7 linked regions of the Cricetulus griseus genome follow. The protein of the gene in region 1 purifies or fractionates together with the protein of each later gene. This does not show direct contact. Links are inferred from orthologs where the notes say so. Each region holds a gene or a part of one and is shown in the gene's direction. Other genes may lie near its edges.

The links.
Region 2: the proteins of DNA-directed RNA polymerase II subunit RPB11-a (region 1) and Rpap2 purify together in Homo sapiens (affinity purification with mass spectrometry; 5 studies listed by BioGRID and IntAct, with this or other methods). This does not show direct contact. The link is inferred for Cricetulus griseus from reciprocal best matches to the Homo sapiens genes POLR2J and RPAP2.
Region 3: the proteins of DNA-directed RNA polymerase II subunit RPB11-a (region 1) and Med26 purify together in Homo sapiens (affinity purification with mass spectrometry; 5 studies listed by BioGRID and IntAct, with this or other methods). This does not show direct contact. The link is inferred for Cricetulus griseus from reciprocal best matches to the Homo sapiens genes POLR2J and MED26.
Region 4: the proteins of DNA-directed RNA polymerase II subunit RPB11-a (region 1) and Uxt purify together in Homo sapiens (affinity purification with mass spectrometry; 3 studies listed by BioGRID and IntAct, with this or other methods). This does not show direct contact. The link is inferred for Cricetulus griseus from reciprocal best matches to the Homo sapiens genes POLR2J and UXT.
Region 5: the proteins of DNA-directed RNA polymerase II subunit RPB11-a (region 1) and Rprd2 purify together in Homo sapiens (affinity purification with mass spectrometry; 3 studies listed by BioGRID and IntAct, with this or other methods). This does not show direct contact. The link is inferred for Cricetulus griseus from reciprocal best matches to the Homo sapiens genes POLR2J and RPRD2.
Region 6: the proteins of DNA-directed RNA polymerase II subunit RPB11-a (region 1) and Polr2m purify together in Homo sapiens (affinity purification with mass spectrometry; 3 studies listed by BioGRID and IntAct, counting the BioPlex papers as one, with this or other methods). This does not show direct contact. The link is inferred for Cricetulus griseus from reciprocal best matches to the Homo sapiens genes POLR2J and POLR2M.
Region 7: the proteins of DNA-directed RNA polymerase II subunit RPB11-a (region 1) and Gtf2b purify together in Homo sapiens (affinity purification with mass spectrometry; 3 studies listed by BioGRID and IntAct, with this or other methods). This does not show direct contact. The link is inferred for Cricetulus griseus from reciprocal best matches to the Homo sapiens genes POLR2J and GTF2B.

Annotation. Positions count from the first base shown.
Region 1 is NC_048597.1:115,111,156-115,115,255, forward strand, and holds the start of DNA-directed RNA polymerase II subunit RPB11-a, read left to right. Parts: upstream 1-1,300; 5' UTR 1,301-1,404; coding exon 1,405-1,457; intron 1,458-3,055; coding exon 3,056-3,145; intron 3,146-4,100. UniProt on the Homo sapiens protein: Core component of RNA polymerase II (Pol II), a DNA-dependent RNA polymerase which synthesizes mRNA precursors and many functional non-coding RNAs using the four ribonucleoside triphosphates as substrates.
Region 2 is NC_048600.1:2,358,648-2,362,862, forward strand, and holds the start of Rpap2 (putative RNA polymerase II subunit B1 CTD phosphatase RPAP2), read left to right. Parts: upstream 1-1,415; 5' UTR 1,416-1,430; coding exon 1,431-1,557; intron 1,558-2,373; coding exon 2,374-2,419; intron 2,420-4,215. Other genes in the region: Glmn (glomulin), read right to left, coding at 316-373, 847-908.
Region 3 is NW_023276806.1:247,288,613-247,292,898, reverse strand, and holds the start of Med26 (mediator of RNA polymerase II transcription subunit 26), read left to right. Parts: upstream 1-1,486; 5' UTR 1,487-1,531; coding exon 1,532-1,603; intron 1,604-4,286. UniProt on the Homo sapiens protein: Component of the Mediator complex, a coactivator involved in the regulated transcription of nearly all RNA polymerase II-dependent genes.
Region 4 is NC_048604.1:125,813,291-125,817,287, reverse strand, and holds the start of Uxt (protein UXT), read left to right. Parts: upstream 1-1,197; 5' UTR 1,198-1,291; exon of another isoform or gene 1,292-1,468; 5' UTR 1,469-1,478; coding exon 1,479-1,576; intron 1,577-3,348; coding exon 3,349-3,430; intron 3,431-3,568; coding exon 3,569-3,636; intron 3,637-3,904; coding exon 3,905-3,997. UniProt on the Homo sapiens protein: Involved in gene transcription regulation. Acts in concert with the corepressor URI1 to regulate androgen receptor AR-mediated transcription. Together with URI1, associates with chromatin to the NKX3-1 promoter region.
Region 5 is NW_023276806.1:60,735,635-60,739,134, forward strand, and holds part of Rprd2 (regulation of nuclear pre-mRNA domain-containing protein 2), read left to right. Parts: intron 1-2,158; coding exon 2,159-3,500.
Region 6 is NC_048597.1:182,991,350-182,995,347, reverse strand, and holds the start of Polr2m (protein GRINL1A), read left to right. Parts: upstream 1-1,198; 5' UTR 1,199-1,338; coding exon 1,339-1,451; intron 1,452-3,251; coding exon 3,252-3,890; intron 3,891-3,998.
Region 7 is NW_023276806.1:16,358,128-16,360,526, reverse strand, and holds the end of Gtf2b (transcription initiation factor IIB), read left to right. Parts: intron 1-494; coding exon 495-776; intron 777-1,508; coding exon 1,509-1,642; 3' UTR 1,643-1,899; downstream 1,900-2,399. UniProt on the Homo sapiens protein: General transcription factor that plays a role in transcription initiation by RNA polymerase II (Pol II). Involved in the pre-initiation complex (PIC) formation and Pol II recruitment at promoter DNA.

The DNA of each region.
Region 1 (4,100 bases):
GAAGGGTTCCAAAGCCCTCTGGCACCTGGCATTGTCTTCACTTGTCCCCTGGTGGCACTGCCATCTTCCATGTTATACAGTGAAGTTTTAGTGCTCATGTACCAATGGCTAGGCTGGCTCATACCTGTTACTCCAAAGACTAGGAGACTGAGTTATTGTTCCTGTTGCTGTGTCTACAAACCCGACAGAAGCATCCTCAGGAAGGGTTGGGATGTCATAGCAACAGGAGTGCCAGGCAGCTGATCACATTGCCACCTGCATCCAGGAAGCAGAACAAGATGGTTTCCTTTCCTCTTTTATTCAGTCTGAGGGCTTAGCCTCTAGGATGGCATCATGCACGTGGTGAGTCCTTAATGGTGAGTCCTTAATGGTGAGTCCTTCCTTCCTCAGTTAAACCTGTCTAGAATCTCACCAACACACTCAGAAGTTTTTGTTTTGTTTTGTTTGTATATACATTGTGTGTACACAGGGAGGTCAGAGGAATTGGTTCTCAACTTCTCCCACATGGGTCCTGGGGATTGAACTCATGTAGTCAGGCTTGGTGACACTATCTTTACCCACTGGACTGTCCTGCTGGCCCACTTGTCTGTTTCCACAATGATACTAAATCTCATCAGGTTGACAAAATGAACCATCATGGAGGCTGGAGAAATAGCTCAGCAGTTAAAGACTGACTACTCTTTCAGGACTAGAGTTGGGTTCCCAGCACCTCCAAGGCTGGTCTCCAAAGGCTCCTGTATGTACGTTCTGCACAGACAGGCAGATAGAAATCTTTAAAAATAGGAAAAATAGCCACAATAGCCACAAAGACGGCTGAAAAGCAGAGAGGTGCCAGGCTGTCATTGTTTTTTGGTTACCTGTGTGTCCAACAGAGGATCCGCTGGCACCCTGTCACTTTTACACACCTTCCTGCTCCTCATCCAGCCAGCCGGGGTCCTGCAGCAGCAGCTCATACACATACACAGCTTGGATTCCAGCTCAGTGAGCCAGTTGCAGGTGGCCCAGCCTTCCCTCGCTGGAATATGCGCCAAAGAGCCGCCTGGTGAAAGCCACTTTTTTTTTTTTCTTTTTGTTTGTTTTGTTTTCAAGACAGGGTTTCTCTGTGTTGTTTTGAAGCCTATCCTGGCACTCACTCTGTAGACTAGGCTGTCCTCGAAACCACAGAGATCCGCTTGGCTCTGCCTCCTGTGCTGGGAGGTGCTGCCCCTGGGGTTTGGACAGGATTTCTAACCTGCTCCGCCTCGCCTGCTCGTGCCTGCCGAAGGTCATCCGGTCCACCAGGGGGCGCGGGGCCAGGGGCTTTGATTGGCTGTGTCCTCGTGACCCGGAAGTGGTCGCGGTCCGGAGCTCAGTGTGGTAACGGCGGCTGCGGCTTGAGTCTGGGAGCCGGAGCGCACCTCTAGGATGAACGCTCCTCCGGCCTTCGAGTCGTTCTTGCTCTTCGAGGGCGAGAAGAAGTAAGTGGAGGCCGTTAGCTCTGGCGCGGTGAGCACTGTGCTTCGTGCGCGTCTGCCGAACTTCAGGCGGTGGTGCGATGTACGCCTGTGTTACAGCGGGGAAACTGAGGCCGGGGCACGTCGAGCCCTTGCTCCAGACACTTAGGAAGTGTCGGGGACTGTATTCGAACTCAGAGTGTCAGGCTCCCTTTTCACTGGTCTGCAGCCCCATTATCCATGCTGCGCAGCGATGGCTTTAGAGCTCACCCCCCTGCATAGGGTGCGATCGCCTGTGATTCCAGGACTTGGCGACTGAGGCAGGAGGATAATGATGGTAGCGGTGAAGGGACCGAGACACAGCTACCCTCTCACACTCCTCAGCAGCCTGAGGATTTCCTCTAGATTTTCAGGGATCTCGGCCAAACTCAGGTTCGTGGCTTCAACACTAGAAAGAATTTCAGGACTCGACGGTTTAATGACGCACTCAGGAGGCACAGGCAGACGGATCTCTGAGTTCAAGGCCAGCCTGGTCTATAGAGGTAGTTCCAGGACCAAGAGAAATCCCGTTCTGAAAAAGAAAAAAGGAGCAATCCTGTGTGGGAAAGGGTCCTTGGTGTGTATAGATAAGGTGCCATCACGGAGTAGAGAAGGTTCCTTGTTTTTTTGTTTTGGTCATGCTGGGGACTGGACCCAGGGTCTGGCCCATGCTAGGTTACTGCTCTATCAATAAGCTACACTCGAGCTTTTTTTTTTTTTTTGTAGTTTTCTTTTGGTTTTTCAAAACAGGGTTTCCTCTGTGTTGCTCTGGCTGTCCTGGAACTCGCTCTGTAGTGCAGGCTGGCTTCGAAGTCACAGAGATCCTCCTGCCTCTGCCTCCCAAGCGCTGGATCAAAGGTGTGCTCCACCACTGCCTGGCTCACTCCAGCTCCCCCTGCCCAACATTTGCTAGGCTGGGGAGATGGCTCAGTGGGTCACAGCTCAAAGCATTTGCTGAGGATTGGTGTGGATCTCCAGAAGCCGTGTCAAAGCTGTGCAATGTGCCTACTTCATTGCTCCTCCAGGGACGTGGAAGTGTAGATAGGAGTCAGCCAGCATGGTCTGTCAAGGAAGGCAAGGATGACAGTGTTTTTCTCTGCCCTCCTGCCCCCGTCACTGGGATTACTAGTCCCAGTGACTAGTCCCAGCAGGCCTACCTTGCTTGTTTTGTTTGGAGGGGGAGTGAGTGGTAGGATGAAACCCAGAGCCTTAAAAATTTGAGATAAATGGTGACCCATTGAACCATGCCAGAGCTCTCAGAGAGCCCTTTGGGGCGAGCAGACTGGGGATAGTGGGACTTGCAGAATGATGGCCTCCCTTGAATTGTTAGGGGGTTTGGAGACAAGCTGTTTTCTGTCTTCTAGGAAAGAATTTAGTCAAGAGCTAGTTTAAGACAACCAATTTGTATGAGGGAAAGAGCTGGATGTTTTTGTTTCTGGGGTAGTGGGAACAGCCCAACTGCAGTTTCTAGAATGTTTGATCACAAAGGGGACACCGATTTGAGAATCAGTGTCAGCATCACAAGAGCTGGATGTGGGGCCAGGGAAAGCTATCACCCTCAGCCTTTGCCTGTCTCATTGTAGAATCACCATTAACAAGGACACAAAGGTGCCCAATGCTTGCCTGTTCACCATCAACAAAGAAGACCACACTCTGGGGAACATCATCAAATCGTAAGTCCCAGGCCAGAGGCCTCGAGTGTCACCAGAGCTCTGTAGGCTGAGCACATGCCCTGGGACGGTTCCTTCCGTCTCTCCGCAGCTTGCTGGCACTTTAACCTGTCACTGACAGGTCTGTTCACATGCGGCTTGCTTTTGTTGGCTTTTTGATGTAGGGGTTCATGTAGTGTAGACTGGACTCAAACTGACTCACCTTACCATGGTTGCCGGGATCCTGGCCACGTAACACGTAACACATCAGCTTCCTGTTGGCTCATTCATGTAGTGTATAAGTTTGCAGTTGCCTCTTGGTCTTTTGGCCAAGATCAAGTTCAGGGGACTCCAGCAAAGCAGGTTTTCATTTTAGTGGGCATCAAGATGCTAAGAGGTGATGGGTATGGTGGTACACACCTGTAATTCCAGCACTCGGGAGGCAGAGGCAGATGGAGTACTTGTGAGTTCAGAGCCAGCCTGGTCTACATAGTAAGCTCTAGGACAGCCAGTTACATACAGTATCTCAAAAAGATAAAGCAAAGGGGGCCAGCAGTGTCACCTCACTTACCCCTACATTTGATAGAAAGCTGCAGGCATCGGCAGATTACCAAACTTTTGTTACTGGGTGATTGCCAGTGCTTTCAGAGCTGGGGGGGTGACAGACGGTCCCCACCTGACATGAGTGCTGGGAATTGACTCTGGCTCCTCTCCAAGAGCAATACTTTCTTTAAATTTAAAACACCTTTTGCCTATGTATGTCTACCGTGTGTCTGTTACCCATGAAGGTCAGAAAGAACTAGATCCCTTGGAGCTGGAGGTACAGGTGGTTAGATGCCACATGGGTGCTGGAAACCTTTTAACTAATCCAGTTCTCCAGCCTTCCCTGCATGTAATGTGCTGGGTCTGGTGGTTTGTGCCTTTAACCACAGCAGGCAGATCTCTGTAAGTTCAAAGCCAGCTTGGCCTACATTGAGTT
Region 2 (4,215 bases), on another chromosome or scaffold:
CTTTCTGTTATAGCCCTTGCTGTCCTGGAAATCACTATGTAGATCAGGCCAACCTCAAACTCACAGAGACCTCCCTGCCTTTGCCTCCTAAGTACTGGGATTAAAGGCCCACACACACACACACACACACACACACACACACACACACACACACAAATCCAATCTACCTTCCTACTCTTATGCTGTTTATTTACAAGTAAAAAACAAAAAAAGCTGGAATTATAGATAAGGTAAATAATGTGAGTGACCACAAAGTAATTAAAGATAATCTATGCCCTTGCCATATTTTACAGGTGGTTTTAGAGAATTACTTACACATCTTTTTATTATGCACTGAAGTTCCTCAACAGCCATTCCTAATAAGTGTCCTAGTCTTGATGATGAAATGAATACAAAACACAGTTAGTTGTGATACTATGTAAATTATGTTTCATAAACTGTTTCATTCTGAATTAATAGAAAACACATAAATACAATGTAAATTTTTATAGCTTAAATGGTATTACTGAACGCTAGTGTGCTAGTCTACTAGAACATTTTTAAAGCCTCTAGTGTATTGCCTAAAGAATGAAAAGAGATTTAAAAAAGAAAAAGAACCCTAGAGAGAACTTCCTAGAAGAACTTTTTTTCAAAAGAGGAAAGTATTCCTTTCATGAAAAAAAAAAAACAAAATCAAAAACAAAAACGGTAGACCTGGCATAAGAATTCTAATCATTAGGGAATCTTTAAAATGTCCCATTGATAAATACTGAAATCCAACACAATTAAGTCACCCAAATAAGTTGAAGACTCTGACGCCCTTCACCCCATGCCCCACAAGACCTGCCCTCTCCACAGGAACCAAACCTAGTCAGTGAGATCACCGAACCACCCGAAGAGAAGGCCTTCGGTGGTGACCAGCACAGCATGCGGCCCCGGGGGCTGGTGGAATCGCTGCCCCCCAGGCGCGGACAGCAAAATCACACCCTACCGCGCCTGTGGGCTGAGCCGAGGGGGAGCCATTTCTCCCTGTTTCCCTGCCTGTTTCCCTGTTCCTACTGGGCAGAGCATCCAGGCTCCAGCACCTCGAGGGGCCTAGCAGGCGAGCCTCGCGCTGCCAGGGTCCTGATGAGCCAGCCTGGACCAGCCCTAGCCAGCTCGTCCACCTACCCGCCAGACCGCTCGCCTTCTCCACCTCCCGCAGCGCAGGCCTCACTCCTGGCCCCGCCCCTAGGTCGGGCCCGCCCCCTCCGGCGTTCGCCCCGCCTCTGGGACCCCGCCTCCTCCGGCGCTCGCCCCGCCCCTGGGCTGGGTCTTCACCCTTCGGCGCTCGCCCCGCCCTCCCTGGGCCCGTCCCCTCCGGTGCTCGCCCCGCCCCTGGACTGGGTACACCCTCTCCAGCGCTCGCCCCTCCCTCCATGGGCCCGCCCCCAGCACGGTCCGGAAGACGCATGGGGGGCGGAGCCTGGCGGCCGCCAGCGTCTCACCTTCTGACTGCGTTTTCCATGGCTGATTCTGCGGTTCCTTTCTCGCTGGGCCCGAGTGCCCCGGCCTCCAGCACCTACCGAAAGGCTGCAGGTACGAACCGTAGCCTCTTCCAGGTTTGGACCCCGAGACCCTGGCTTGAGTCTACACTGCGCGCGCGGGCTGCTTGCCCAGTCTGCCCCCGGGGGAGGGAGGGCTCCGAGTGGCGGGTGGCTGCCCCGGTGCCCTCGGGAAAGAATCCCGCGGCCTCACGCGGGTGTTCCGGGGTCTTCCCCTGCGTGGGCCGTGCTGGGGACCCCAGCACAAGGGGCCAAGAACAGGTGGTGTTCAGCCGCCTCGAATCCTGGACTACACCTCCTTTTGGACTGCTTTGGGGCCTGGTCTCTGAGGTATCAGCGCCTCTTTTTAGGCAAGCTATCTAGCATTTGGGAGACCGAGAAATGTTTATCCTAAAGCTTTAAGTTTTGTTTTGTTTTTTATTTTTTATTTATTATTTATTTTTGTTTTTTGAGACAGGGTTTCTCTGTGTAGCAGCCCTAGCTCTGTCCTGGAACTACCTCTGTAGACCAGTCTGGTCTTGAGCTCACAGAGATCCGCCTGCCTTCTGTCTCCTGATTAAGGGCATGTGCCACCACCGCCTGGCTTGTTTTGTTTGTTTGTTTGTTTGTTTGTTTTAAAGAAGTACTTGATTAAAGCTGATATGATACATGAAAAAAGCCAGTCCCCAAAGAGATTTTAGTCAAGAAAAATTGAGATGTAGTTAATTTACAGAAGCAATGGAGTTTCCTTCTTGTCTACCTAGAAATGAAATTTGTGAGAGAAAAGGAAAAGCTGCCCACAGTGTGTTATTTGGGTAAGACTGCTACATCAAATGTGTGTTTGCATTTGCTGTTATCTCTTCAATTGTAGGAACTAAACAGACAAGTGCCCTCCAACCAGAAGATGCTTCCAGAAGGTATAGCCACTTTCCTTTTATCTCATTAATTGGATCAGATTTGTTTGGTTTTATTTTCTAGTCTTGGGATTTGGGCATTGAACTATGTACTGAGAACAAACTTATGAGAAGATGTAGGGAGCACTAATAGTTCTCAAAACTTTAAGGAAAGCAAACTGGAGGCTAAGGCTGTTGGAAACTGTTGGAAACATAGTGGGCACACCATCCCTGAATTAACCAAGCATTCCTTCCCCATCTCTTCACATCCATGCTTACTGTTGTATATGCCAGACTCACTGGAACCCTTCGTCTCCTAGCATTAAATGCAGATTTAAAAACAAACCAAAACCACCCTTTACTATCTATCTCTCATGTCACAAAAGATCTCTAAGAGAGGTATTGTCTGTGAAGAGATTAAAAGTCTCCGTGACTCAACACTTCAAGATTCACTAAACTCTTCTTTCAAAATATTTTCCAAATACAAGATAGCCTGTATTTGGGTTAGTGCACTGGGACTGAGAAATGTCAGTTAAACTAACACAAATGAATATGTCATCACCAGTTGCAGTAAGTGTTATGAAGAAAAAGGAGATATGAGGCAGGGCTAATGATTTAGATTGGCAGGGGGTGGCCTGTGGGTTTTCAAGACAAGGCTTCTCTAAACCCTGAAGAGAGTAGGTGTAAAGCACACAGTAGGGATGAGAGAAGTTCAGCTAGGGGGATAGTGTGTATGAAGAGCCTGGGGTCGGGTGTGTATAACATCCCCAGAGGGAGGGAAGGAGGCAGAATTCTGTTCATGTACTATCTACTGTGTCACATGGAGAAATTTGGTTTGTCTGAGCACAGAACAGCAAGGCAGTGCTTGGATGTAAGGTTTAATTTAGGGCGAGGTGGTGTGGAGGGTTAGAGATGCTAGACGTATTCGAGAACTGTTCAGGAAAGCATTTCCTGTGGAGCTGCATAATACTTTGCATCCTAGGCCAGTACTCTACCACTGAGCTACACTCCCAGCTCCAGCTAAAATGTATTGTGAGCAGATTAGCTAGGATGACAAAGCAATCCATAAGGTAATGAAATGGTGATTGATAACAGGTGACGGATCCTCTTGATTTATTCTGACATAATATACTTCCAAGTTCAATCCAGCTAAAAAAATACAAGCAAAAAATGTACATCAGTTCACTCATTTAATAGAATGCATTTAAAAGTTAACATCTGACAGGCTTGGTATTGTCAAGTGAAATAAATTGTTTTTAATTTGTTTTAATCTGAATGTAGTAAATACCGACAGATATTATCCATATGTGAAAAAGCTCTAGTTTTAAGAATATAAAGGAATCCCAAGACCAGAATGTTTGAGTACTGCTTCATACACCACTGTCTTAGTCAGGGTTACCATTGCAGTGAGGAAACACCATGACCAAAAGCAACTTGGGAGGGAAGGGTTTATCTGGCTTATACTTCCACATCACTGTTCATCATCAAAGGAAGTCAGGACAGAAACTCCAACAGGGCAGGAACCCTGAGGCAGAAGCTGGTGCAGAGGCCATGGGGAGGTGCTGCTTACTGGCTTGTCCGAAAGGCTTGCTTAACCTGCTTTCTTATAGAACCCAGGACCATAAACCCAGGGGTAACATTACAGGCAATGAGCTAAACTATTCCCCCATCAATCACTAATTAAGAAGATGCCCTACAGGTTTGCCTACAGCCCAAAACGTTATAGAGGCATTTTCTCCCATCAAAGTACTAACCAGGCCCAACTCTGCTTAGCGTCTGAGATCAGATGAGATCGGGCATGTTCAGAGTGGTATGGCCGT
Region 3 (4,286 bases), on another chromosome or scaffold:
GTGTATGTAAGAAGTACGTTTTCGTTCTACTAGTGTAACGCAGGCTTCTGCCAGGTGCAGAATTAAACAAGCCATGATAAAGCTTTTGTTTGTGGAGGGGAGAGGGAAGGACAGGTTCTGACTTTCCGTCCTGGCTGGTCTGGGGCTCACTGTGTAGACCAGGCTGGGCACGAACTCCAGAGATCCTCGGGCCAACCGAGCACTGGCATTAAATGCCAGGCTCTCCCTCCCCCTCTCCCCCATCCCCCGATCCCGGCTAACCCTCAGAAGTATAACAAATTCAAAATTAACAGGGGTCGCCCAGCTCTCAGGAGCACATGTGGTTCCCATTACCTGTTTCCCTTCCGTTTCCAGTCTGGATCTTTAAGGTAACCTCGGAGCCCGCCGCCCGCCCGCCCGCCCTCCTCCCGTCATCTGCAGCGGAGCTCCGGGTCACCCAAAGACGGGGGGTCGGGAGCCCGACACTTAACATCTCGCTTCTCTTGGTGTGGCCTAAAACTCCAGGTGGTTCTGACGCTTGCTTTCCTGCTCGGTGGGGCGTTCCTGTTTTCCAGCACCTGAGATGCAAAGCCAACAGGAAGGGGCGGATGCCGGGCTGCAGCCCCGCCACCTCGGGCACGGCGGTCCCTCCGGCCGGCGACGCGAGCGGCGCTTCCTCCTGAGCGGGTCGCGCAGGCCCTGTCGGAGGCGGCGGTGCCCTTAGGTCCCCTCTGCGCGGGTCATACGGGGACACGCACTGCCCCGCAGACCCGCGCCTCCGGTTTCCACCGCGGCGGCGGCTGCGCAGAACTCTCCCGAGGTCCTCGCGGCGCGGGTCTCCTTGGCGTCGCTCCTGAGCCGGGTCCCAGCCCCCGGCTGCGGCCCTTCATCCGAGGGGAGGGTCCTCCTTCTCCGCACCCCCGAGGCAGCCCGGAGGAAGAGTCCAAGCTCCAAGACCCAGCGGGTGCGCTTCCGTTAGGAAGCTCCGCCCACCGGTTTTTCGGAGTGGGCGTGGCCTTTAGACAGCGTCCGTTGCCCCGCCCAACTGCCTCCCAACGGCTCTCTGGAACGGGCCATGGGGCGTGGCGACGCGACCTGATAAACGCGCGTGCGCGCGCATGCGCAGAGGCAACAGAAGCGGCTCACGAGCCGGCCCCTCCCAGAGCCAGAGTCTCCGCCCGCCCCCATCTCCCAACCTCCTCAGCGTGGCGCCGACGCTGCGTGCGGCGCGGGTTACCCAGAGTGCTCAGCGCGGGGGCAGCTCACTGGAGTTTGGTTCTCGAGGCGGCGGCGGCGACGGCGGCGGCGGCGGCTTCTCCGTCGGCTCCTCCTCCCCCCCTGCTCGCAGCAGCGGCGGCGGCCCGGGGCCCGAGCTCCGGTCCCCTCCGCTTCCCTCCGTCTTCCGCCATCTCCCCGAGCGCCCCGACCTCCTCCGGCGCCGCGGGGAACATGCGGCTCCGTTCCCGGAGGCTGGCGAGCGACTGACCCGCGTCCCCCCGCCCCAGCCCGCCCGCCCGCCGGCCCGGCCGCTCCCCCCCGCTTCGCCCAGGCAATGACAGCGGCTCCGGCGTCTCCGCAGCAGATGAGGGACCGGCTGCTGCAGGCCATCGACTCCCAGAGTAACGTAAGTGACTGCTTGGAGAACGGGGACCGAGGCCGCATGTGCCGGGACCCTCCCCCTCCGACGCGCCCCCGGCCTGGGGGCCTCTCCCGGCGGCGCCCTGCCCGCCACAGCCGTTGCCATCTCGGCCTCTCGTTCTCCCGGGTCCAGGGGCCGCGGGCAAGGCGGGCAGCCCGGCGACTCAGGGTACCTGAGGCCGAGGCTTCACGCGGCCTGGACTGAGGGATCGCTCGGAGCCGAAATCAGACCTGGTTCTCCTCGGTTGCCTCGGCCAGATTGTCCTTGGTGCTTTCCACCTTGCCTCCCTGTCTCTCTTCGACCCCGGGACTTGAGACCCCCCGGAAGGGTCTCCCTACGGGGGTCAAGGTGGGAAGCAACTAGTGTCCCCCGATGACTCTGGTAGCCCGCGTCTCCCTTCGGTCTTCTGGCTGAAATCGTCTTCTTGGGCTCGGAGAGAACCCTAGGCCCTCCTTGTCCCTAGTCTTGCTGCTTGGGATCCCTGGAGAGTTTCCCTTCTTTTCTGATACTGGACAGACCCCAGTTTAATCCCTCCAAGGGTCGCTACCTAGGAAAGACGACCCTGCAGAAGGTGGGATCCTTCCTGTCACCTTTCTTGGCCTAAATGTCCCATTGTGTGTCTGACAAGCCTGGGGTTTTGGTACTGAATTCCTGCTCATCACAGTCGATTGTTCTCTCGCCCCTATTCTGGTCTTCTTTCCATCTCTCTTGCCCCACCTGAGGGACTCGGCCTGGTGTTTGGTCTCTAGGCTGTCAAGAGTTAACTGTATGGGGTCACTTTATGTCACATTTCCCTCTGCTAAGCGTCCTATGAGCAGAGGGACACCCTTTCTTCCTGTGTGAGCATAGGCTAATCTCACCTGTTGTGTTTTTTCCAAAGGTTTGTTGGCAGTGTAGGGAGGGGGTGAGGGTCTTTGTTCCTGGAAGCAGCAGGGCCATGAGAAGATGCACAAGCATCCAGGTATGAAGTGTTTGCTGGGAGACCAGGAAGTGGCCTTTGAGATCACTTTTTAATATGCTCAGGATGGAAAGAAAAATCATCTTGGGCTTGGCCAGGTAACTGAGGTTTGAGCAGGGAGCTCTTTTGGTTCCCTTACTTGTGCTTGGCTTGTTACTCTTAGTAATGTGCCATATTCTGGTGTGTTCCAAGAAATTCACATTAGTTGTGCAGTCTTGGTAGAAATGGAGGTTTCCTGATCTCTGGAAGAATCTGCTTGCCAGATTCAAAGTAAATCTCTTCTTCCTGATCTTGAGGCCCTATTAAGATCACCTTGATACTGATTTAGCCAATATTTTAGACATTTTTGGTGGGTGGAGTAAGGACAGGCTAGATAAAATCTTCTAAAAAGTCTTTTTTTTTTAAATGTTTTTTAAAACAGTGACTGATATTACTGCAATTACATGATTGAGATATTAAAAGATACAAACAAGTGATGTGAAAAATGTAACCTCAGTGGCTTTTGCATGTTTTCTGAAGCTACAATGTACACAGTGGATTTTTTTTTTTTTTTTTTTTTTTTTTTTTTTTTTTGAGACACGGTTTCTCTACCTGTAGACCAGGCTGGCCTCAAACTCACAGAGATCCACCTGCCTCTGCCTCCCAAGTGCTGGGATTAAAGTTGTGCGACACCACTGCCAGCATCCACAGTGTAATTCTTAAGTCCTGTATGTTGACTCGTGAGAAATCACCAGGGATCCTGACTGCTGCCTGTGAGAGTGCTGGGATCAGCTAGTGCTTTGATAGGCAGTAATGATGCTTCGCTTCAGGTGGGGCAGCCTTGCGGGTAAGGCTCTGACTAAAGGATTCTTTTGGGGGTAAAAGAAGGAAGATAGAGGACTCAAATTTTAGTGTGTGAGTGTGTGTGTGTGTGTGTGTGTGTGTGTGTGTGTGTGTGTGTGTGTATTAAGACAGAGCCTCTGGAACATACTATGTCCTTTGCCTTCCGAGTATTGGGATTAAAGGCGTGGGCCACAGTGCCTGGTCCCCAAACCTTTGCTTTTTGAATCTTACCTTGGGCCTAAGTGTTAATATACTCCTTCACCTGTGGGTAAGTTACTTGGAGTGGAGTGTGTATCTCAAAGGGCTATAGGGATAAGTGACCTCATTGTGATGGCTAGAGTTGAGAACTTGTCTCTTAATGAGGAGGGAAGTTTTTCTCTAAATGCAGTGTATCAGTAACTATTCATGAACACTGTCATGTGCTGGCTTTGCAGGACCTCTTTGTAGAACTCAGCCTGGAGGACTGTCCTTGATTTCTTCCAGAGGCATTGAAGGGTACTTTTTCTGGATTGTTCAGGGCCCAAGTAAGAGCTGTGTGCTGGCACAGGGCTCTGCTCTGCCCAGTTATGAGCTCTACCACTTGGTAATTGACACATATTTAAGATGTTCATGGAAAAAAATACAAAATGGGGACACAGTTGAAGAGCTTACACTAAAATTAACCCTCTTGAGAGAAAGTGACAGAGATTGGTGTCATGTAATGCTTACCTTTATGAGTGCAATCATAGCTAACAAATTTAGCTGTTGCTTGGAAAGTCAGTGCCAGGCAGCTGACCTACTGTCCACAGTCTCTGAAATTGGGAGCAGCTCCTTGACCAAGGAGGTCTCTAGAGGAAGGCCAGCTCTGCTGTGTGTTCTAGCTTCTGAGCAGCAAGCACTGTCCTTTCT
Region 4 (3,997 bases), on another chromosome or scaffold:
TAAAATTTGTGTCTGTTTAAATATTTTTTATGTGCTCCTGCCCATTCCTTTTACGGAGGATGAAACCCAAAACCATGTGTGTGAAATATACGTGTATGTTTTGGGGTTTTTTGTTTTGGTTTGGTTTGGTTTGGTTTGGTTTGGTTTTGGTTTTTCGAGACAGGGTTTCTCTGTGTAGCTTTGGAGCCTATCCTGGCACTGGCTCTGGAGACCAGGCTGGCCTCGAACTCACAGAGATCCGCCTGCCTCTGCCTCCCAAGTGCTGGGATTTAAGGCGTGCACCACCAACGCCCGGCGTATGTGTTTATAAAATAAGCAATATTCAAATTTACCAATTGCCACAGGATATACTGCCCTCTTTATAGATTAGTACCATAATCCTTACTAGTCTATAGGCAATCTTGTGCTTTTTAAATTATCAAATGCTTATGTGAACTCAGTGAGGTTTGTTTGTTTGTTTGTTTTGCTAAAGAGGACTTGAAGGTGGAAGGGAAATGAGGTAGGAGGGGTCTGGGTGGAGTTGGAAGGAGGGAGTAGGGAGTGGATATGGCAAAAATACATTGCATACATGTTATGAAATTCTCAAAGAATAGAAATGATTTTAAAAGAAAAAAAAAAAGGTGGGGACTACATAGATGGATCTATGGTTAACAGCACTGGCTATTCTTGTAGACGCCCCAGGTTCGATTCCCAATGCTCACAAATATTCAGTAGCTCCAGCTCCAGGGGATCCGACGCCCTCTTTTAGCCTCCACGGGAACTGCACGTACATAGTGCACACGCATGCAGACAAAAAAGATAAAATAAGAAAAAAAAAACAATTAAGACCGGCGAGAAGGCTACAGAAATGGTTCGGCATTTAAGAGCACAAAAGGTTCTTGCAGGGGATGTGAACTCCGTTACTACCACCCACATCATGGGAGCTCACAACTGCATTTAACTCCAGTACCGCTGCCGCGCTCGCTCAAACATGCGCGCGCGATTCAAACAAGCTGTAAACGATTTACTCCCTCTCCCTACCTTCCTGTGCGTCCAACCTCCCTCAGAACCCGGCAAAGCTCATTAGACTTCACCCGAAACAGCTACCCGCGGCTGTCAACCACTAGCCGGCTAGCAGACAGCCCGCCCTCTGACTTCCTAGTATTCTCCAGGGTTTCCTTAAGATCCCGCCTCAGCGCTCCACTTTCAGGCGGTCTCCTCTCATTCTGGACCGCCCCTCCATGCTGGAAACACGTCATCCACCCGCGCCACCCGGAAACCGCGGTTCATTCTAACCTTAGGTGGCCCTAAGGTAAGCACGGCGCTTGGGTACCGGTGAGTGACTGCGTGTTAGAGTCGGGTTGGGCAGAAGGAGGAACCCCGTAGCATGAGCCGAAAGAAGTCATACCCAACGTTAAGAGGTTGGAGAGAACTTTGTGAAGTTAAACAGGAGCACTCAACGTGGTTTTTCTCCCTCCTCACTCCCCAGGAAGCCTATCATGGCGACACCCCCGAAACGGCGGGCCTTGGATACTGTAGGAGAGAAAGTGCTGCGGTACGAGGCCTTTATCAGTGACGTACTGCAGCGAGACTTGCAGTGAGTGACAACGCAGATTCTAGGCGTGACATTTGAGAAATTCCACGTGGTGGGTGGGACAGAATCCCGGGAAAACTTTCGGATTGGCCGGGAAGAGGGGTTGACGTCCGGGCTGCGATTTGGTTGGAACTTGGCCCTTGTAGTGGAGCCTCTGGCGTCGTTCGTCGGATTAAAATAGTCATAAAAACCCACGACATTTCTGACTGGGCCATTTAGCCATTACTTATGAAAAAGTTGTACATCACCTCTCCTCTCTGTGCTTTATAAACTTTGCTCATCTGTGGAATGGGAAAGTTTATGGAGCCTTCTTAATGTGGTGGTTTTGAGTTTTAAATGTGTCTACCCAGGTAAAGAATGTAACCCAAAGCCTAGACTGATAACACAGGACTGTAATTCCAGCACGAAGGAGGCAGAAGCAAGAGGATCTTCGAAGTTGGAGACCAGCCTGGAATATAAACTTGACTGTCTCTAAAAGGGGGAAAAAATTAGAATGAAGCCAGGCTCAGGCTCTGTGGTGCATGTCAGTAGTCCTATCTAGTGGAGAGGTGGAAAAATTCATTTCTTTAGCCAGGATGTTCAAGCCAGCCTTAACAGTAGAACATGGTTTTGATAAAATAAAGCCCAGTGTTGTGACACAGGCTTGTAATCCCTGTACTTGGGATGGGTGAATCAGGACGATCCAGAGCTCAAGATCATCCTCAGCTATATTTCAAAGATGAGTACAGCCTAGGCTCTGAGACTGTGTCTCAAAAAAAGAAGACAATGGAGCCAGCAAGATGGATTGCCTTGCTTCCATGTCCTGAGCTAGCTCTCTGGGATCCACATAGTGAAAACAAAAAAACTCCCAAAAGCTGTCCTATGACTCACATGGGTGTACCACGGCACCCATACATGTACACAAAATAAATACATTAAGTAAGAATACTTTTTAAAACTTTACATAAACCCAACTATACTACAGTTGTATTAAGGCTGAGAGGAAAGAACTGTCTTGTGTACTCACAAGTAGCCTGGGAAACTCAGTTCTTGTCTCAGAAAATAAAAAACAAATAACCTGGATAGTTTTGAAAAGGAATTTAGCTCCGGTGGATGAAACATACTAAAAACTCAATAATTAGATGATTAGTATTGCTGTCATTATTAATGTGAACAGAAAGTTTGGAACTAGAGCAGTGTGAGCATGGAAGGTATGTGTAGGGTGAAGATGGAGCATTTTAATTGGCATAAGGCACTGAGTACAATGCAGTATTTGTAATAGTGATGGATAGAAAGGATACAGTGTTTACCATTTGGCTGGCATTTTATAGTAAACACTTGAGTCTAATGGTTCCTATGAGGTAATACTGTCATCTCTATTTTATATGTTGTGAAACTAAGTCCCAAATAGGTTTCCTAATGCCAAAGTCACATTGCTAGTAAGAGTTAGAGCTCAGGATGAAATACAGTCTGACTTGTATTTATTGAAATACTTGGTGTGTCTTTCTCTGTCTATACTATGCGCTCGCTCGCTCTCATGTCTCCGTGTGTGTGTGTGTGTGTGTGTGTGTGTGTGTGTGTGTGTGTGTGTGTGTGTGTGTGTGTGTAACACAGGATCTCACTATGTAACCCAGGCTGGTCTTGAACTCATAATCTTCCTGCCTCAGTCTTTCAATTACTGGGATTACACTCGTGAACTACCATAATTGGCTTAAAATGCCTTTTAGGCCATGATGTGAGATATCTCAAGAGGAATAGGGCTGCCTAATGATCACTCTTCTATTTCCACGTATCAGAAAGGTGCTGGATCATCGAGACAAGGTATATGAGCAGCTGTCTGTATACCTTCAACTGAGAAATGTAATTGAGCGACTCCAGGTAAAGGCTTTTAAATTGGGTATCAGTTTGTATATGTGTACAAAGAAGGAAGATGGGAAGAGAAACCCCAAAACAAAACCTTTTTCCTGCCTTAAAAATTGGCCACTGACACCTACTTCTTTTCTCCTGGCCCTACAGGAAACTAAGCACTCGGAGTTATATATGCAGGTGGATTTGGGCTGTAACTTCTTCGTTGACACAATGGTGTGAGTGTATTCCCTCCCCTCCGAGTTTCTTCCTTCTTTCATGCAACAAGTATTTCTTAATATGTTCTATATACCAGACTCTGGTCACTTTTATATTGCACTAGGATGTAAGCTACATGCTGTGGGTGTGAAGTGAATGAACATGAAATACCGGCCCTTACAGAGCCTTAACTTTAGGGAACTGGAGGGAATAGGAAACACCTTCAACTATACAATGTGCTAAATGGTAATAAAGACTTCCTCCACTTCCTCTGACTTCTTTCCTCAGCCCAGATACTTCCCGCATCTATGTGGCCTTGGGATATGGTTTTTTCCTGGAGTTGACACTGGCTGAAGCTCTCAAGTTCATTGACCGAAAGAG
Region 5 (3,500 bases), on another chromosome or scaffold:
CTGATGCCTGAAGTTGACCTCTGGATTCTACTTATAGGTCCACTTGTGCATGTGACCATACAGAATTATAAAAAATGGAAATCAAGGAGAATTGAAAAAATTGAAATCCCTTAGTAAATATGATTTTAAATTGATATTTTGAAGAAGCACTTACTGAAGTATCAGGAATATTTTCTTTAGGTGTTTCATTACCAAAAGATAGTTTTGGTTGATTTAGTAAGAAATGAAATTTTCATTTATGACTGTAAAGTAAGTAGATTTGACAAAATATGACTTGCTTAAGAGGATCTTATGTTACTTTTCAGTTTTTTGTCTTGTAGACTTTTCTGCCTGGACATGGCAGAATACATTTGTAATTTTGGCAGACAAGAATATCATTGGGTTGAGCCCACTCTGGTTATATAAGGAGATCCAGGGGTTTGTTTTTATTTTCAGGAGCACTTTGATTTCATTAACTTCAGCCTGAACCAATGAATTCTTTTTCCATGATTCTGAGGTTTGTCAGTGTACAGGGTTGAATCTCATCATTGTCAGTTTGTACTGATCAATAATTCTTGGGCTTTCCTAGGTATAAAACAGGAATTGTGGATTTTTGTATAATAAGAGCAGCACTTCTATTGATCTGGCTTTGTAAGACTTTGTGGTTCCTGCTTTTCTGTTTATCATTGCTGTCTTTTACAAACAAAATTGGTCTTGAAAGCATTGTCTGTGTGATGCACGCCTGTAATCCCTACATTTTTTAAGAGAACAAAAGATTGAAAGTTTGAGGATAGCCTGGCCTACATAGCAACATTCTGTCTCAGAAAAACTGGAAAGAAACCAAAAGAGGGGTGGAACAGTGGCCCAGCAGTTAAGACCATGTCTTGCTCTTGTTCCCAGCACTCGTATCTGGTAGTGACTCCAGCTCCAGAGTATTTAATGCCTTCTTCAGTCCTCCCCAGGCTCCAGAACACATATGGCATACATTCACACAATATACACACATACACATAAATAAAAATAATTTAGAAAAAATAAAAGAGCCAGGCTGTAGTGGCATGTGCCTATAATCTCAGTACTCAGAAAGCAGAGGCAGGGAGAGCTCCATGAGTTCAAGTCCAACCTGGTCTACATAGCAGAGCTATGTAGTTGAAACCGTGCCTCAAAAATAAATAATTAAATAACCTTGAATTTTAAAGGGGGGGGGGGAGCTAAGTGTTATGGTACACACTTAAAATCTCGGCGTTAAGGAGGTGGAGTCAAGAGGATTAAGAGTTTAAGGCTAGCCTGTATTACATGAGAACCCTACGCCCCTCATAAAGAGACAGGACTGGGCCTGGAGAAATGACTCGGCAGTTAAGAGCACTGACTTCTCTTCCAGAGGACCCAGGTTCAGTTCCCAGCAATCACAGGGCAGCTCACAGCTATCTGTAACTCCAGTTCCATGAGATCTGACACCAATGCACATAAAATAAAAAAATAATAAAAATAAAAAAATTTAAAAAGACAGGACTGGAGAGATGATGTTTAGCACCTGCGTAGTTTATAGGTGTTGTAACTCCAGTTCTAGGGGATTCAATACCTTTCTCTGGCCTCTTTGGGCCTCAGGCATTCAAGTGTACATAGACATATATGAGGATATGAGGGCAAAACAACCATACACACACACAATAATTTTAAAAGTGACAGTAAAACTGCAAGAGATAGACTTGTTGAAAAAATGTTGAAGCAGATTTCTGAATTTTGTATGTGTTCTTATTGAAAACAGCAGTGCATGGTAACACTGGAGTAAGTTGTGATGGGTGGGAGGGTGGGAACATCCATCTGTGTTTAGAGCGACTCCACAGCTCAGACACAGATACTGCTTAGAATGCTGTGCTAAGCTGTGAATGATTCTGACATGCAAAATCCCTCTTTCCTGTGACCTTTTAGTACTGGACTTGTGTCTGGATTGTTCAGGGACTCTCTGAATGCTTCACTGTTTTAAATTGATAAATTGTCCTGATGTTTTCTGTGACATGTAGTCACTGCCTGTTTAGTCTGGATTCCTTTTAACTTCATATTTTAAAGTCTATCTGGTTCCCACCAGAGTGAATGATAGTATCTAATAAGCCTGCCTTGTTTTCGTTCTGATGTTCGTAGTTGTTCTTTTTAACCCCTCTAATCTGTGTTTCTACAGGCCTGTCATCTTTACTTCAGAGTGTTACTGGGAACCCAGTGCCAGCCAGTGAAGCTACATCCCAGAGCTCTACGGCCTCCCCTGCCAGCACCACCAGCTCTGCCATAAAGGGGAGAAATGTGCTCTCCAGTACCCAGTCTTTTATTTCCAAAAGCTTCGGCTATTCCCCCAATTCTTCAACTTCTGAAGTCTCTTCGACTTCAGCAAGCAAGGCATCAGTTGGGCAAAGCCCAGTGCTCCCAAGCACTACTTTTAAATTACCATCCAGTTCTTTAGGATTTACAGGTACCCACAATACTAGCCCTGCTGCTCCACCTACTGAAGTTGCCATGTGCCAATCCTCAGAAGTCTCCAAGCCAAAGCTGGAATCAGAGTCCACTTCCCCAAGCCTGGAAATGAAGATCCACAACTTCTTAAAAGGTAACCCTGGTTTCAGTGGGTTAAACTTAAACATCCCAATCCTGAGCAGCTTGGGATCCAGTGCCCCATCAGAGAGCCACTCCTCAGACTTCCAGCGTGGTCCTACTAGCACTTCAGCTGACAACATCGATGGCACCCCTGTTCGGGATGAACGGAGTGGGACACCCACCCAGGATGAGATGATGGACAAGCCCACATCCAGCAGTGTAGACACCATGTCCCTGCTGTCTAAGATCATCAGTCCTGGTTCCTCAACACCAAGCAGTACAAGATCACCACCCCCTGGAAGAGATGAAAGCTACTCCCAAGAGCTCCCCAATTCTGTGTCTACATATCGGCCCTTCGGCCTGGCCAGTGATGCTTCCTACAAGCAGCCACCTGAGGGAGTCGAGAGACCATCTTCCCTGATGGACTCTTCACAGGAAAAGTTCTTCCCTGACACTTCTTTCCAGGAAGATGAGGATTATCGAGATTTTGAATATTCAGGGCCTCCACCCTCTGCCATGATGAACCTAGAGAAGAAACCAGCCAAATCCATCCTGAAGTCAAGCAAACTTTCTGACACCGCCGATTACCAGCCAATCATGTCCAGTTATAACCACAGGGCCCAAGAGTTTGGGGTAAAGTCTGCCTTTCCTCCATCTGTAAGGGCACTCCTAGACTCTAGTGAGAACTGTGACCATCTCTCATCTCCCCCTGGGCTATTTGGTGCCTTCAGTATAAGAGGGAATGAACCTGGGTCAGACCGGTCACCATCACCGAGTAAGAATGATTCGTTTTTCACCCCTGACTCCAACCACAGTAGCTTGTCTCAGTCCACCACTGGCCATCTCACTCTGCCACAGAAGCAGTACCCAGACTCTCCTCACTCAGTCCCCCATCGTTCCCTTTTCTCTTCGCAGAATACCCTTGCCGCTCCAAC
Region 6 (3,998 bases), about 68 Mb from region 1:
ACTTAGCAATATAAAGAAACATTGGCATAGATGAACTTCAAGATCATTACACTAAACATTAACAAAGCCAGACTCAGAAATTATCAAACTATTTTCCAAAGAGGTTCTACTATTTGCAAACCCCTCCCTGTTTAGCTGTCTATGGAAATCTCAGATCTTCTTCTTTCTTCTTCTTCTTCTTCTTCTTCTTCGTCTTCTTCCTCCTCCTCCTCCTCCTCTTCCTCCTCCTCCTCCTCCCTCCTCCTCCTCCTCCTCTTCCTCCTCCTCTCTCCTCCTCCTCCTCCTCCTCCTCCTCCTCCTCCTCCTCTTCTTCTTCTTCTTCTTCTTCTTCTTCTTCTTCTTCTTCTTCTTCTTCTTCTTCTTCTTCTTCTTCTTCTTCTTCTTCCTAACACTTGACAGGGTCAGTCTAATTCCTGATATTCTGATTTGTCCAAATATCCAAATCTTGTTGTTTTGTTTGTCTTGAGACAGGGACTCACTATGTCGCCTTGGCAGGTCTCAAACTCACTATGTAGATCAGGCTGGTCTTGGACTCACAGAGATTAGCCTGTCTCTGCCTCCCAAGTGCTGAGATTAAAGGCATGCACTACCACGCTTAGCTATATTGTGTTTATAAAATGCATTTTATAATTGCTAGTAATACTGGTCATTCATTGTTTTTTAAATATTTATTATGTTTTGATTGTGTGTGTGCTCGTATGTGTGTGCATGTGAACCAGGTGCCTGCAGAAGCCAGGGAAGGTTGTGAGATGCCCTAGAGGTGCAGTTAAAGGCAATTGTAAGCTACCCCACAGGGGTGCTGTTACCCAAGTTCTAGTCCTCTGCAAGAGCACTATGCACTCTTAACCACTGAGCCATCTCTACAACCCCCTGTCATTTATTTTTACGGTTATTAGTGTTCATTCAGGAATCCCTGTGAAATGTTTGTCCAAACACTGTACTGCTTAATTGAGATGTGACACTATTACTTCTGGCATACTTTGCTTAATAGAAGTGAGTCAGTAAGTCTTTGACATGGGTGTCCTATACTTTCTCAAAGCGAAGTCGAAAAGCTGGGAAAGCAAAGGACACACATCCAGCGAAAGCGCGCCAAACCCAGACACTTCTGCGGTGATGTAACTTCCGCCCCTGAGCTCTTCCTCGGGCGCCCCCTTGCTCCTGGCCCGGTCCGTTTCCGGCATTTCAATAAAGCTCCATTCGGCTCGAAGAAGCCGTGCTCTTCCGGGAAAATGGCGACTCCCGCTCGCGCGCCCGAGTCGCCGCCGGCCGCGGAGCCTGCTCCCGCCGTGGGCCCCGCCGGGGAGCCGTGCCCTCCGCGTCAGCCGCAGCCCGTGCACAATGTTCTCGCTGCCCCGCGGCTTCGAGCCCCCAGCTCCCGAGGACTTGGGGCAGCGGAGTTCGGCGGAGCTGCGGGAGAGGTTGAGGCGCCAGGAGAGACTTTTGCGCAACGAGTAAGCGGTGGCTCGGGGGTCGCGGTTGCGGGGAATCGGGACCGGGATCAAGGGATAGGCTCTCGGGGGTAGAGATCCGGGACCAGCCTCCCGCTCCCCGCCGCGGCCTTTCGGGCGAAGGTGACCTTGCGTGGTCATGCCTCCTGGCCAGGCCCGTGCTGCGCGCGGCGTTCCTCCATGCTGCCTGGCCCTCAGCAGGCAGCAGCGCCTGCTCCATTCCACGTCCCCACAGCGGCTTTGAGAAAACGTAACCCTGGGGACCCAGTCCTTGCGACCAGACGGCGTCGATCCCCGCTTCTCTATCTAGAGCCCCACTCTTTCCCAAAGCAAAGGAGACGGGGAGAGTGTGCTGTAAAGATGGGCTAATTAGGCCTAGAAAGTTTCGCTCCCGCGTAGTAGGGTGGATGATGATAGCTGACGTTTTAATTTTTAAAGGCAGCTTTGTTTAGGAGCGGGGTTGAGGTAATAAGAGGCAGAAGACGCCAAAAATGTATTTTTTTCCGAGAGATTTTTTTTCAGCAAGATGGGAAGGTGAACTGTGAAGGCAATCGAGAAACTGGGAAAACTTAAGTACTGGTGAAATAATTTGGAGATAAATACATATTCATAGTTAACAGGTGGTTGAAATTTCTGGGGAGCCACAAAGGATAATGAGAAAATTGGGAGAGAGGAATGGATTCAAGGTTAATTTTTTTTTTTTACGCGGGTGTATTTAGTGGAGGGGAATAATGGCAGGCGTTTAGTTAGTTAAAAGCCAACTGATTAAACCCTGAGAAATGGGTACTAGGCTCAAGAGAGGGCTGAATAAGCAGAGGAACCCCAGTTGCAGAGAGGCAGAAAACATGAATGTGGTGTGGTATCGGGAATAATAGAGGACCTAAGAGATCTTCATTTGTTATGTAACTAAGGGAAAGAACCAGAAAGGGAATTTCACTGAGCAAAAGGGGCCAGTGAGCACTGGAGACAGGTATTGTTTTGATTCTTTTTTTTTTTTTTTCTTCTTTTTTTCTCCAGAATGGGTTGTTAATAATAGCAATAAATTAACCTTTTGATCTCAGGACATTTTTAGATTCTTTAAGAATCACTGGGCATCCCTAAGAGCTCCTGTTTATTTATACTGGCAATATTGCTGATTTAACAGAAACAACTTAAGTCTTTCACAAAAACACATAAGTCCATCTTCCTTTGTAAGATAGTGATGTATTCTATTATGTGACCTCTGTGAAACCTGTTGTACTCAGCTTTTATGACAGAAATGGCAAATAGTGCTTTTGACCCATTTTTCAGCCTCATTAGGGTTCAAAGACCATATTTTTAAAACCACTAGTCTTTATTTATATTGAACAGGTTGAATATCTGCTTTCCTAAATACACAAACCAGAATTTTATATTTTTAGGGAGATTGGAATGTATATGTGAGTGTATTGGGACGGTATCGAGTTAAGACCCAAGTCTCAAAATGATTTCAGTTGTTTCTTATATATGACTTTCAAGGTAATTTTGTGTTGTGTTCTTTATAGCTTGGGTTTTGACTGCATCTCATCATGTGGCAAGGTGTGAAGTTTTCCACAGGGCAGTCATTGTCTGGGCTTGAAGAATTTCAGATTTTAGATTGGGAAAATATCTGATGGGTTCCTGTATTAGGCCAGATAAAAATCAGATTTATTTTGAAAAAACTTCAAAGCCAGCTTTTCTTTGAGGATTATATTCTGCCTTTTAAATACCGTGTTTTCATGTTTAAAAACATGGCTCTAATGTGTACATGTTGGTTTCTTTCTTTCTTTTTTTTGCATTTGACAGAAAATTCATTTGCAAATTGCCCGACAAAGGTAAAAAGATTTCAGACACCGTTGCCAAACTGAAAGCTGCCATTGCAGAACGTGAAGAAGTTAGAGGGAGAAGTGAACTGTTTCATCCTGTTAGTGTAGACTGTAAGCTAAGGCAAAAAGCAACCACACGAGTTGATATCGACATAGACAAGGCCCAGAATTCTGACCTGATGCTTGATACTTCATCATTAGTTCTTGACTGTTCCTCTGTAGACATCAAATCATCTAAAACAACCTCAGAAACACAAGGACCTGTACATCTCACTCACAAAGGCAATGAAGAGACTTTGGAGGCTGACTGCACAGTGAACACCGGCCCTGTTCCCGGCAGTACAGCCAGGGCACCCTCATCTGAAGTTAACAAACATCTCCCCCAACGCCCTGTTTCAAGTCAAGTGGAAGACATTTCCAGCAGCATTGACAGTCTGTTTATCACTAAGTTGCAGAAGATCACAATTGTAGACCAGAGTGAACCCTCAGAAGAAAACAGCAGCTCTGAGAACGTGCCGGAGCTCCAGAGTGAGACGCCTAAGAGGCCTCATTACATGGAAGTGCTAGAAATGCGAGCCAAGAACCCAGTGCCCCCTCCTCATAAGTTTAAGACCAATGTGTAAGTGTCACAGAACAGGGAACAGGCTTGTCCCAAGAATGTTTCATGTGGTATGCCAGTTCAGAGAGTGCTGTGTGTGTGTGAGGATCTTCTAAGCAGGAGTGAACA
Region 7 (2,399 bases), on another chromosome or scaffold:
TTCAATGTTGCACACTGACTTTCCCTGCCGAGGTCCAGGCAGGACACTACATTTACTATATATCCAATGAGTATCTTTCAAGTTTTCCTGTGTCAAAGTGAAGAGCAAAGACTTGTCACACATCATTTTTACTGTAACAACTCAAGCAGTGACTAACATTTTAGCTATTTAGAGATAGCATGGAAAGAGTGCATATGCACTTGGCATTTAAAGTATGGTGAAAATATAAACCAAGAAATTTTTTTAACTTTTTTTTTATTAATTCATTTTTTACATCCCAATTCCAGTTCCCCCTCCCTCCTCTCTTCCTGCTCTCCCAAACCAAGAAATTTTAAATACTAAGCTCCATGGGAAACACTGCTTGAAAGGGTTAGGGTCTCATCTTTAAGCCATGACTGAATTTTCTACAGCTGGAATATTTTCTTTTTCTAATAAAAAAATGATAAATTAGAAAATAAACACAGGCTTGATTTTTTTCAATTTTTGTCTTTTAGAAATATGTGCTGTATCTCGGATTTCTAAGAAAGAAATTGGCCGCTGTTTTAAATTGATTTTGAAAGCTTTGGAAACCAGTGTGGATCTGATCACAACTGGGGATTTTATGTCCAGGTTCTGCTCCAACCTTTGCCTCCCCAAGCAAGTACAGATGGCAGCTACGCACATAGCCCGAAAGGCTGTGGAGCTAGACTTGGTTCCTGGCCGGAGCCCCATCTCTGTGGCAGCAGCAGCTATTTACATGGCTTCTCAGGCATCGGCTGAGAAGCGGACACAGAAAGGTAGGATCTTTATTAGGAAGTGTGCCAGAGAGATGCAAGGCTGGGAGTCGATGGTGAAGAATGCTAACTGTTGAGAACCCCCTAAGAAGCATCAACACAGAAGGGAGTGGGATGAGATGTAGCCCTGTTCCCCGAAAGCACCTGAAGAAAATACAGTATATTGGTTTTAAGTGATTATTTTAGAGGCATAGGCTTTCCTATATACAAGTCTACTTTTCCTACTTGAATTATTTAATTTTAATCTGTATCTTTTAGGATATAGATTACATTTACTGGAGCATGGGCAACTCACTGAAGAAAATAGTACCTCTTCCCCCAGCCACTATTAATTGTCAGTGGGACCTCAGTAAGGGGTGGCACCTTAAGGCCCTTCCCCATTTTTGTTCACTGAGGCAAGGTCTCATATAGTTTATGTTATGCTGGGGATAAACCCAGCTTTGCACATGATAGGTAGATTGTCTCAGCCCTGCAACAATACCTGGCAAAAGGAATACAATGCCTGTTACTGGATACCATGCCCTGGGTTGCTTTGCATATATTATGCCCCTTAGTATTACTAAGACACCTTTAAAGAGGCCTGTATTTACTTTGAATCCTGCTTATACATGGTAGAATGTATTTCTATTATCAGTTATAAAAAGTGAAATTGAGGGGTTGTTTTGTTTTGCTTTCCTCTTTGGTAGTAAGAGTTTGAGCAGATTTTGTTTTTTGTCTTCTTTTTTTGTCCTTTAGAAATTGGAGATATTGCTGGTGTTGCTGATGTTACAATCAGACAGTCCTACAGACTGATCTACCCTCGGGCTCCAGATCTCTTCCCTTCGGACTTCAAGTTTGACACCCCAGTGGACAAATTACCCCAGCTCTAAGCTGAGGCAACTAAGTGTCACACTCTCATGTACATGGAACTTTATACATAGCTTACATTGTGCTGGTTGAGCCTTTAATAAGATGGTACGCATTCCAGACTAAATATTATTTAGCATTCTGTATGTATATATTAGTGCAACATATTTAATGATTTAAATTTCTTACTGAATCTGCTTTCTTTTTTAGTGATTAGGAAACAGTATTTTGGAAGATACTAAATATGTAATTCTCAAATAAAACATTTTTCAAAACTAAAGTTTTTGTTATAGTAATATGAAATTTATAATTATAAATCATGTACATTATTATAGGTGATAGAGAGAGCCTGTTTCCGATCATTTTTGTATTTAGGTTCTTCAATTTAATAAAGTCGCAGAAATAGCAAAGGCTTGAGAACCATTGTTAACATCTATTTTGTAACATGAATATGCAAACCACAGGCACACATCAGAGGCTGTGTGTGAGAAGTGAGGGGCTGGGCCTTGAAAAGCATTAGGTGTTGAGGCAGGAACAGCTTGTCTCAGTTCAGAGATGACTGCAATCTGCCACCAAAACTAGCCCTTACAAGTGTGGCTTTGGCAATTAGTATAGGTCAGTCCTCAGGAAAGTTCCGAAAATAGAACCCCAGTAAGTTGTCTAGACTTAGGTCACTTTTGTTTCCTTAAGCTGTTTTGCCAGTTGATAATTAGTGAGCTTAGCATAGGCCACTTTTCATGCAGGTAAAGCAAATCCATTCTGTGCATGTTAGCATAGAAT